2 linked regions of the Drosophila melanogaster genome follow. Changing the gene in region 1 together with any one later gene gives a genetic interaction. Each region holds a gene or a part of one and is shown in the gene's direction. Other genes may lie near its edges. The genes, in order: cg and en.

Region 1 (5,243 bases):
CAACCATTTATGGAGAATTCGCAATTCACATCAAATGATCTGATCGACTAAGGATATAGTTTCTGTGGCTTGTAATGAAACCCACCTTTTTGCAATGATGTTGCTCAAATTAAAGTACCCTCAGCCAGGGTATAAATATAATTAGCCGCCATCGAGCATGAATGACATCATAAATTTATGGCAAAACAACAGGCCGTAGTCCGCTCATCTGGGTGGGCAAAATGCAACTGGCCGGGATCAGAGGCAGGTCGAGACATCTACTGACAACAGCTAAGGGTTTATAATTAGCCAACGGCATGGGGCGGTTTAAAAACCCCAGGGATCCACGAAGGGGCGCCCTTGAAAGCTGTACGAGCACCTGGCACTGTGCCCTTGGAACAGTTAGTCTTGTAGCTAAAGTTTGTAAGTGTTAACTCCATCTGATCACCCTGCGCCCTGTGGAACCGCTCCTGCCCTTGGACCTGCTTATAGCCATAAGGGAAAATGCGCCACTAGGGCAATATCAATTGACCAACTAGATGGCGAACATGGCAGTCGAGGAATTAGAGAGCAAAATTGTCCAACTGTTCGTAGAGAACCCCCTCCTGCGCTACGGTAGAGCTCCAGCAGTGACTTAATGCTATTTACTAATAAGGTATTATATTTCATCATATGTAGGTGCTGTTGGTCTGTGCGCCATCTACCTGATCTTTGGCTGGGGCGCCCAACTACTGTGCAACATCATTGGGGTTCTGTACCCTGCATATATTTCCATCCATGCCATCGAGTCCAGCACAAAGCAGGACGACACCAAGTGGCTGATCTACTGGGTCACGTTTGGAATCTTCACCGTGATTGAATTCTTTTCGAGTCTGCTAACTTCGGTGATTCCCTTTTACTGGCTGCTGAAGGTGAGCTTTGCATTCTTCACATATAAGAATCTTCTTTTAAATGCTTCAACTCCACATGTAGTGTGCTTTCCTCATCTGGTGCATGCTGCCCACGGAACAGAATGGTTCTACCATCATCTACAACAAGCTGGTGCGACCCTACTTCCTGAAACATCACGAATGTGAGTAAATTCACCTCTTAGATATTGCAATTTTACTAAAAGGAGATCAATATTTGCACACAGCCGTTGACAGGATCATCGATGATGGCATGAAGAAAGCCGCTGGAGTGCTGAAGCATGACTAGAAGGCGAATGTACCGTAGCTCCGACCGCTTCTCGCTTATCCATGCATTTGGTTTTGGGCCTGGTCACCAACCTCACCTCGTATTGGTTACGTTTTGCAATAAATTTTAATTCTGTATTCATTTTGTTGTTGATAAGAGCACCAGTGTTCGCTGAACCAGAAGAAATCTCCGTTTGTTAAACGTAAAAACGAAAAGGAGGCTTTTATTGAGGCACAACTATATTTATGCGGTTGATTCCGCCTTTTCTGGCGACGCCTCCGCTTCAGCAGCTGTCCTCCGGTTCCGCCAGGCGGTCATGTAGGTGCGCGGGTGGATGGGCAGTAGTCCGGCAATTCCCAGGAGTTCTGCAGCCGGCGTGGACAAGTGTGCACCTTTGCCCAGCCAATAGCGAATTCTCTCCGTGTTCAGGGCCACCAGTCGTTCGTTGTAATCGTTGGGCAGGGGATCAAAGGAGCCCACCTGCTCGATGACAGGCTGGTGCTGGTTCTTGCGCCTCTAAACCGGAAAATACAATTACCAATTAAAAGTTTTAACCATTTTAATGGCCTAAAAGTACGCACCTCCATGACGACAATGTGATAAAAAGGCCGATTGGTGCATCCCAGGCGTACGAAACGTATGATTTTTGCCGACTTGGCGTAGAAACGACCAATGCCACTGGCTGGCGATAGAGACATCCCGATATTTTATATATCTAATACAAGTTTTGGCATAAAATAAGGATTCTTCAATCAGAAAATGTGAATTGTTATGCAAAGCATGACCGTTGAGGGAAAATTTAACAATACCAAGCGATTGGGTCACACTATTAGTTAGCCCTAACAGCGTTGCCACCTCCGACCGCCCATGTTAGACAGTTGCGGCACCTCGACAACCCTGGCCTGCGCACACACAAGATGGCGTCAGAGAACGAGAAGCACGAACACTAAGGAATTTGTTCAGTGGTGTCTGTGTCTGTGAATTATATTGAAGGAAAAAGAGTGTTTTGTTTATAAATTTAATTGCAAAAACTGCACATCGTCACACGGGGCGCGTGCACACACATCGGCGCACACGCACACCCACGCCAAGGCGACACCTAAACGCAAAACGGAGAGTGTGTGTTATCAATGGAGTGTGTGTTCCCCAACGCCAAGTGAATTTTTTTCGTTGAGACCGAGGGACGGAAAAAAATGGCGCCCGCAGCCAGAGCAACTTGACTTTCTTTTCGGTCCTATATAGTTAGTAGTTGCTTGCCCCCGTCTCGTCGTCGGCGAGCGAATTCGGTGATTTTATTTCGATTTCGTCGCAGTGCGATATCCCCAACGAAGAAAACATAACGAATAATTGATGAAAAAGTGCTTGAGAGAGACCCCCCCAAACGTATTCGAATTTGTTGTGTACATTTTGGCTTCGAACACAGCCGCAAAAATACCATTACCAATTTCCACTTACTACTACTAGAGAGGAGGATAGTATTTTGTACGTGCTTTAGAATACATACATACATACCTACATATACCACAAGCAAGCGAGAAGTGCAATTACATTTGCGTTTGGAAATTTTGCGCTTTTTTCTCTTCCGTCCTCCCATCCAAAAAAAAAAACCCCCCGCTCCCCCTCTCTCTCTATCTTTCTCAACCCGCATTGTGCTAAATAATGTGTGCCGCCCAGAATCCGCCGCCCTTCGGCTATACCTGGGGTTTTGCGGACAACGGCAACCGCGCCGCCGAATCGGTACTGGAGATATCGCCCAACATCAACTATACAGTCAGCGGGGAGTCGGTGAGTCCAAAGTTATAGCTCTATTAAACTGATAAACCCGTTGAAAGCTGCCAGTCTGAGGATATTTCCCCCCTGTTGCCGACATTGCTCCAGGTGCGTGCGTGTGTGGGTGTTGGTGCTGCTGTTGCTGTTGCTTTCCCACACCGAATTGTGTTGTGGCCCACCAATGCATACACACAAACGCACACACGCACTGCGTTACACTCGCTCACGGACTCGCTCGTCTCACCAACACTCGCTGCTTTCGGCAACGAACTGTGTATGTATACGGCCCGAATGGCATTCACGTATACGGTATACGTGGAAAACGAGCGACAGCAACTGCGATATACATACTTACGTACATGTACAACGTATATATGCATACGCCACACGCTTTATGTAACTGCGTTGTCATGCGAATATACGAATATGTACGAATGAACGTACGTATGTATGTTTTTATGGGGGGGATGGAGCGAGTGTATTAGAATTCTTTTAGCATACATCCATACGGATTTTTTTCGTTTCCATTTCATTCGTAAACATTCATAATTTGGTATTTGTAAAACGAATGCGTACACAATTGGCTCTGTGTGCGGAGAAATTCCCAAAATACAACACGCGCACCTGGCGAGCAAGTAAATAAATAAATAGCAATAAATTCCCCCCACAGGCAAATCGGAGCAGTTAATTAGCGGGAAGGTCGTGAAATTTTCAAAAGTCTGGCAGCTGGTACAGGCAATCGATGCTAATCGATATTTTTCTAGGCTATTCATGCATATATCGCTAACCTAATTTAAGTTCTATTAATAATTATTGCTTATCCATAGGTTTTTTTGTTGTTTGTTTCTTTTTTTTTGAGAGCAATATTTTTTGTTGTGCAATTGACAGGAGAAATTGTGTTTGTTGTTTTTTAGTTTATATTTGCGGGCACTTATACAATGGCAAACGCGGCGAATTCGCCGCACTTGCGCGCCCGATATCTCCGCATGTGTGCGTCAGTGCCGAATTCGCCGCGCTTGCTGCCCTCTGTATGTGTGTGTATGTATGTATGCACGCACACTCGACCAGAAATGACGTGTGCTCCCCAGTGTGCGTTTGGTGTCGTGCGTGTGTTTTGATTACTTTTGCCGCACCATTTTGGCGCCCATCACACACACTCCCATGCCACGATGTCCAATTGCACTCACACACATACAGAGTGAAAAAGGCGCGCTTTTTGCGAACATCCCCTCCCGCTCTTAGCGCCCAACTTCCCCCCTCGTTCGTCGTCTATCATCTGTTGCCGCACTGCTGGCTGCGCAGGTGTAGCGTGGTTATTGGCGGTTATTATCAATCAGAGCGAAAACAAAAGACAAGCACTTGGCCAATAGAAGCATCAACCGCCAACAACTCCAAATCACAGCCTGCAGATCTTAGCGAGTGGCGACTGTACTTGCTGCCAAGTTTTAATTTCCCAAAAAAAAAAAGGTTCATGAAGGTCAATTCATTCATAAGTTTGAGCTGAACAATAAAACTGCTACAAGTTTACTTCCTCTCATTTGTTTAAATCGTTTTTGGGACATTAAAATTGTAGAAATGACTAGGGGCAATGTACATAGATTAAAAATTATTTATTATTCTTTTATATAAAAGAGCCTTTGTTGTTTGATATGTAACATTTCTTGAATGAAAGATAGATTTATAAAAAAAATGTGTAAGCCAGGCTTTCCTAAAATCGCAATTCCCAGGACCACGTGTAAACTAAACATGCAACTCCTACAACATAAGCATTATTAAGTTTATTTAGAAATTAGGACAAACCTTTAATTTATCCCCATTAGCCATGAGTACTAAAAGTCTTTGTTCCAGATGCCCTATCTACTATCGACGGATGGATCATTGGCAGTTCAAAAGGATGTCAAAGGCCTTACAGCTGGCGGCAAAAATAATGTCGTTCGTCGTATGTTCGTCGTAAACGATCCTTCATTTCCGCCTGGAACACAAAGGTGCGTTGGCGCTCCAGCAGCCCAAAGAGATCCCCAATGTACATATACCTAATTCTCAATCCCTTGCAGAGTTATCACTGCCGGCGGAGCATCGACGGTGGTCAAGAAGCAGGACAACAATCAGCAGGTCCTGAGCCTCGACAAGAACTGTAAGTGGATCGATTCTAAACGAATCAAAAACCCATCGAATCGATTCAGTGTTGCACGCATTGCTGTTACTGTGTTGTGATTATCTATATATTTTGGGTTTTCTGTTAATCGATTGTTTTTCTCTCTCTACTCCCGTTTATTTATTTAATTAATTTATTTTTTTTTTTAATTCTCGCTCGATCT
Region 2 (6,833 bases), 2.6 Mb from region 1:
CGTTGTTTGAGTCTTTTGTTTGGCCGGCAGCTACGAAGCTGAGAAAAAGCCATTAGAGATCGAAAAGTAACCGAAACAGAAATAGAAACAGAAACAGTAGCCGAAGTGGTGGAAAGCCAAAGCTCATTAGCAGTTACCATTTTATCCAAACAGACGCATCATTATCATTAAGGGCAAACGGGAAAGCAGCAAAAGCAGCCACAGCAACAATAGCAACCACAGCAGCAGCATCAGAAACAAGTTGAAAACTTTAATTAACGCATTTTTACGCAACTGTCGGCAGCAGTTTAACCCTTTTCGTGGCCAAATGCTGAGCAAACACGACAACGGTAATAATTGAAAATCATGGCAATCAAAGCGGAAAGTGTGTAGGGGAATGGAACGGTGTGGAAGGGTGGAAGTTGAGCGGAAAATCAACAGCTGCCGACGGCAACAGCGGAATGTGTAAGAGGAAGATGGTCAAAGGGGGTGTGCGAGAGAGAGGCAGCAGCCATTGTTGTCATGCGTGAGAGAGCAGGGCAGAGTGAGCGAGAAGCGCACAGTGCGAGAGCGAGTGAGACAACTATCTATTCGAAGTTCGAAATTCAAAAGGGGAAATAGATTTGGCTCCGTTCCAGTTTCCAGTTTTTCCAACTTCGACTTTTAATGGCTGACCGCAGACTGGAAGGTGCGTTCGAACCGGTTAAGATCGAATCGAAACGGTTAAGACCACTCAACGGAATTTCAATTTATGCATCTGAGCTGTTCAAATATATTTATTAATTTATATTCGATTCAAGTCCATTTGATACTTATAAAAATGCGCATAAAAATTGAATAAATTTCGGCCCATTGATTGTGGAACAGGTTAACCACGAAATTTGCTCTAAATATGGATTATGGCTTATTGTTTGGGCGTTAGTTTGTTGGCGCGAATTGCTTATGTCACAATTGGCAACAGGAAATGTGGGAGTGTGAGTGGTGGCGAGATTACTCTCTAATTAAATCCTTTGCCCCATAAATCAGTAGCCCACATGGCAACGATCGCTTTTATTATGCAAAAATTAACACAACAAAATCTGCTAGCTATAAGGCAATTCATTAGCGATTTCGTTATTTGATTTCGGTTTTATTCACATCGAACAGATTCGTTGATTTATGAGCTATATATCAGTGGTTATATGTTCGGAATCCCACATCTATACACTATTTGCAGCACATGTTTCACATTTGTAGATCGTCGGTTGATTAGAGCCCCACAAAAAAGCGTTATTGTTAATGTCCAATGCCAAATGGCGTTCGTTTTTAACACCTTCTAAGGTTTATTTTGACAGTTAGCGATGGTTTTTCATTCGCTCGTCTGGCAAATCGATATTCGATGGGCAAATAAATAAATTAAATGTCAATTAAATATCAATCAATTTCGTCAGCTGTTTTTCAAGGCACATTTAACTGGTTAATTGAAGGCCTCAAAAATAAATTGTCATCGTGTATTTAGCGTATTTTTGTGAAAAATCGCAAATGATACTGGTGGTGGGAGTGGGGGTGATAAAAAGTTTCCCTTCATTTAAATTAAAACAATTAGCTTTGCGGTTTTTTTCCTCTCTTTCGATTCCCCCTCTACACATGGCCTAAAGGTGGTGTCGATAAAGTTGTAGGCTGTAGAAAACGCAGATTGAAACGTCGCGGCCGAAAACAAAATCAACAAAAACTAAATGCTTATGAAAAGTGTCTGTGGAAAGAGATGGCATGTGGCTCTCCCCCTCATGGAAAGGCAGCCATTTTCCTGGCCTACTCGCAGAGGGAGTGAACAGTGCCGCTATATGACCCCCACTCGGTAACGCCCCGTGAGAGAGGGAGAGCTTGCGCCTGCGCAGTTCGCTGGGGACACAGTTGTCAACCGGCTGACAGCTCCAGCATGCGCATAATAAAGTCATATTGCTGCCTAACAAGCCCCCCTCGCCAAATTGGCAAGAGAGAGTGAGAGCGAGAGGGAGCGAGCGAGAGAGCGCTCTGGCCAGCTAATAGGAGTGAGTGAGCCGGCGAAACCGGTTCGCATGGGGCAGGTGACAAGGCTAAGAGAGAGCGAAAATCGATCAGTGTAAGGCCGAAAAGACACATCTTCTACTCTCATCTCTTCATGTCACTGTCACCAACTGCTGTCACTCACTCACTCGCTCGCTCGCACACACTTCGCCAGCTACTTGTGGGATCTCGCCCTCTCGCTCCCGCACTCGGACCTCTCTTTCCACCGTGACAGTTCAATCGGCTCTCGCGTTAACTCTCCCCGACGTCGGCGCTGCGATTCCGAAGTAGTCAACTAATTCAGTCGTTGCGCTCGATGTGAACAGACGTGCGTGTCGGAACAACAGTTGCAAATCAAACACGAAAGCATAAGCCAAACAAAAAACACCAAACAGAGAAGAGAATCAGAAGATTCTGAGCAATCAGAAGAATCAGTGGCTCAGTGTCAAGTGACCCAGTGACAAGTGTCTTAAGCGAGTTGCGATTTAGCACCAAGTCGAAACCAATGGCCCTGGAGGATCGCTGCAGTCCACAGTCAGCGCCCAGCCCCATTACCCTACAAATGCAGCATCTTCACCACCAGCAACAGCAGCAGCAGCAACAGCAGCAGCAAATGCAGCACCTCCACCAGCTGCAGCAACTGCAGCAGTTGCACCAACAGCAACTGGCCGCCGGTGTCTTCCACCATCCGGCAATGGCCTTCGATGCCGCTGCAGCCGCCGCTGCTGCAGCTGCTGCTGCGGCCGCCCACGCTCATGCTGCTGCACTGCAGCAGCGCCTCAGTGGCAGTGGATCGCCCGCATCCTGCTCCACGCCCGCCTCGTCCACGCCGCTGACCATCAAGGAGGAGGAAAGCGACTCCGTGATCGGTGACATGAGTTTCCACAATCAGACGCACACCACCAACGAGGAGGAGGAGGCGGAGGAGGATGACGACATTGATGTGGATGTGGATGATACGTCGGCGGGCGGACGCCTGCCACCACCCGCCCACCAGCAGCAGTCGACGGCCAAGCCCTCGCTGGCCTTTTCCATCTCCAACATCCTGAGCGATCGTTTCGGAGATGTCCAGAAGCCGGGCAAGTCGATGGAGAACCAGGCCAGCATATTCCGCCCCTTCGAGGCGAGTCGTTCCCAGACTGCCACGCCCTCCGCCTTTACAAGAGTGGATCTGCTGGAGTTTAGCCGGCAACAGCAGGCTGCCGCCGCAGCCGCTACTGCGGCCATGATGCTGGAACGGGCCAACTTCCTTAACTGCTTCAATCCGGCTGCCTATCCCAGGATACACGAGGAAATCGTGCAGAGTCGGCTGCGCAGGAGTGCAGCCAATGCCGTCATCCCGCCGCCCATGAGCTCCAAGATGAGCGATGCCAATCCAGAGAAATCTGCTCTGGGATCCCTGTGCAAGGCGGTCTCGCAGATCGGACAACCTGCTGCCCCTACGATGACCCAACCTCCGCTGAGTAGCAGTGCCAGCAGCTTGGCCAGTCCGCCACCCGCCTCCAATGCCTCGACCATTAGCAGCACCTCTTCCGTGGCCACCAGCTCGAGCTCCTCCTCGTCGGGTTGCTCCTCGGCGGCCAGTTCCTTGAACTCCTCGCCCAGTAGCCGACTGGGAGCCAGTGGATCCGGAGTCAATGCCAGCAGTCCCCAGCCGCAGCCAATCCCGCCGCCATCCGCCGTTAGCCGAGATTCCGGAATGGAGTCCTCGGATGACACGCGTTCCGAGACGGGATCCACCACCACAGAGGGCGGCAAGAACGAGATGTGGCCCGCCTGGGTGTACTGCACCCGCTACAGCGATCGTCCCAGCTCAGGTTAGTATCTATGCGATTACCTAGCGTTTAAGTGGGTCAGAAAGAGGGTTCGTCGGGCACCATCTTCAGTGTTGTCAAAACAAGGAAGTCCCAAAGGTTCGTTAAAAAAAAAAAGATGTGAAAATGGTAAATGGTATATGGTTACATGGGGACCACCCTTGGGGAGCGTTATGTTGGCGGCAGCCTTTCAAGCAGCTCTGTTTTGTGTCATAAATCCGAAGGACACTGCCACAATTAGGCGACACGCGGACAATGGCAATGAGCCCGAATCTGACTCCCATTTCTATAACCATGCCCATTCCCATTCCCATTTCGTATCCGAATCCGAATCCGATTTTGGGCCTCACGCAGTGCTGCGCTGCTTTTGAAGAGCGACACTTTATGTGACAACATGTAGCGCAGAGCCAGCGCTTGTCTATCGGAACTGTTAGATCCTCAGGTCGAAGGTCACCGCTCACGCACACACGCCACGCAGAAGCCGAGACCCTAAAACGCGCTGACGATTGACAGGGGAAAAGTAGGTGCGGGGGAGATATGATGGCGGGGGAAGCCCCTTCGAAAGGAGAAGAGTTTTCCATTGACAAGCGGAGATTTTCCTTGCAGCTCTTCTTAGATCGTGTGTTAATTGACGAGTTAAGTGCTTTTTTATGGTCGGCAATGGTTTTTTAATTTGGTGTCGATGCAATCGATGGCAGCCCATAAGCGAGGCGTTGATGGCCCCACTCCGCGGCTAGGAATTAATCAAACGATCTCCACTTACTGGCGGTCAATTAAATTATAATTTACAATGTGTGGAAATCTAATAAGCACTACGGATTGCTGCGGTGCCGCGTTGCCAATTAGCCGGTGACTTGGACTTAGTCGCTAATTAGAGAGTTGGCTAGCTGGCAAATCATTTGCCTAAAATATGCCGTAGACCTTTGGGTTCGTTAACTCGCCGGAGTTCTACTCTTCTCTTGCGCTGACAGCTGACAAATTGAACACTTCCCCGCCAGCACGCGAAAGGGAGCTCCAGCTCCGGCCGAGGAATTCCGCCCAGACATATGCTAATTGAATCATTAATATTATTAATAGTATGTGGCGCATTTATGCAAATAGAACTAACGTATTTCTCGTGTTTTTGTTTATTCCAGGACCCCGCTACCGCCGCCCCAAACAGCCAAAGGACAAGACCAACGACGAGAAGCGTCCACGCACCGCGTTCTCCAGCGAGCAGTTGGCCCGCCTTAAGGTGAGATTCAGTTCTTTTTTCCATATATGGTTATATGGTTATACCAATATCCATCCATATCCATATCCAATTGCCCTACGCTTGTTGTGTCATATTTGCACCAAAATATTGACACCGCCCGCTGCTAATGCATCCTGGCAATGTGGTGTCCCGTCCGTACTTAACCAATCAGCCACGCTCGGCCGAAACCGCAAATAATTGATTTTCCCTACCTGACTATACAACATGGATATCCTTGCCATCCGAAACTCATCCAGCATTCCATTTCTTCCACTTACAGCGGGAGTTCAACGAGAATCGCTATCTGACCGAGCGGAGACGCCAGCAGCTGAGCAGCGAGTTGGGCCTGAACGAGGCGCAGATCAAGATCTGGTTCCAGAACAAGCGGGCCAAGATCAAGAAGTCGACGGGCTCCAAAAATCCGCTGGCACTGCAGCTGATGGCCCAGGGATTGTACAACCACACCACCGTGCCGCTGACCAAGGAGGAGGAGGAGCTCGAGATGCGCATGAACGGGCAGATCCCCTAAGCGCTGACCAATGGTTACCCATAAGGGGTTACTCCTTCTGACGGGGGCGTGCAATATTCGAGGGCGTACAAATGGTTTTCATGTGATATAATTGTAGCGTACATATGTTTTTGTATATATCTCTAAAAATATATATATATATACGTATAATCCTAACCTAGAGTAAGACCCATCCGTAGCGAATTCGAGCTGTAAGTTGTTGGCGTATTTATTTAACCACCCCTGGATAGCCGAAAGTATTATCGTAATCACCCGACACAAAGCCTATCGCTATCGCCGCACTTCAAAAGCTTCGACCTTCAGACGTTTATTCCTACACAAAACACTATCTATAGTTATTACTCCCTATAAATTACGCGCTTGCAACCGCTCTGTAAATTAAGTAACTTAACAGTTCCCTAGCTTAATTCCTAGTTTACACACTTAAGGATTGCTATGAAAGAGTATTTTAGTTTCTAAGCGAAATGTTAACGAGCAACTAATAGCTGGCAAATGCACCTAAGAAAATAACAACGAAATGTTTGTGCTAAAGCAAGTTCATGAAAAGAAAATTAAAAACAAAATAAAAGAATTATGGAAAAAAATTAAAATGCAATTGGTTTCCTCTGGGAATTGGAAGTCTGCTACATTAAAGGAAAATATGCCACCCATATATCGGAGGACATGCGGTCTAATCGGTGGCCTTATTTGTACTTTGTGTAGGGCGCCATTATCTTCTCTACGCTTTTTCATCTGTCACATCAAAGGCTATAGAACATTAAATCACGAACACTTGTCGTCGGGCGAGGGTGCCGCTAATTGCACAATCACATTCCGAACCAAAATCGGAGGCCGTCGACGAGTAACGGCAGCTCTTGCTCTTCGATTCCATTCCGTTTAATTAAAGCCAAATCCGCGCGTAGTATAAACAAATATCTGTGACGAGACAGAAGCCCAACAAACAGAAAGAAAAAAAAAAATGCAAAACTAAAGCGGCAGGGAGCAGTCATCAAATGATTTATTGGCACAGATCTCGCGGCGAGCGGCGTTAATTTGCTGAAAATAAATGCAAACGCGAAATGCAATGCAAAATTGTGGGAGGGGGCGGGATGAGCAGCTGACATTTACTGGCAAGCGTTGATGTGCACATACAATACACACACACACATGCACGGCTGTATGAAGCGCATATGAATTGATGCCAAACGCTAATTGCACAGCTAGCTTGAGGCTCAAATCCATTCGCATGTCTCGAGGGGTCTCGCTTTTTCAG

The links.
Region 2: of cg (region 1) and en, changing one enhances a phenotype caused by changing the other (phenotypic enhancement), as found in Drosophila melanogaster (one study listed by BioGRID).

What each region holds. Positions count from the first base shown.
Region 1 is NT_033778.4:14,171,633-14,176,875, forward strand, and holds the start of cg (combgap), read left to right. Parts: upstream 1-2,060; 5' UTR 2,061-2,814; coding exon 2,815-2,940; intron 2,941-4,773; coding exon 4,774-4,910; intron 4,911-4,979; coding exon 4,980-5,059; intron 5,060-5,243. Other genes in the region: ReepB (receptor expression enhancing protein B), read left to right, coding at 658-890, 952-1,051, 1,115-1,176; mRpS16 (mitochondrial ribosomal protein S16), read right to left, coding at 1,399-1,671, 1,737-1,853.
Region 2 is NT_033778.4:11,523,347-11,530,179, reverse strand, and holds en (engrailed), read left to right. Parts: upstream 1-1,969; 5' UTR 1,970-2,509; coding exon 2,510-3,821; intron 3,822-4,954; coding exon 4,955-5,052; intron 5,053-5,332; coding exon 5,333-5,581; 3' UTR 5,582-6,174; downstream 6,175-6,833. UniProt on the Drosophila melanogaster protein: This protein specifies the body segmentation pattern. It is required for the development of the central nervous system. Transcriptional regulator that represses activated promoters. Wg signaling operates by inactivating the SGG repression of EN autoactivation.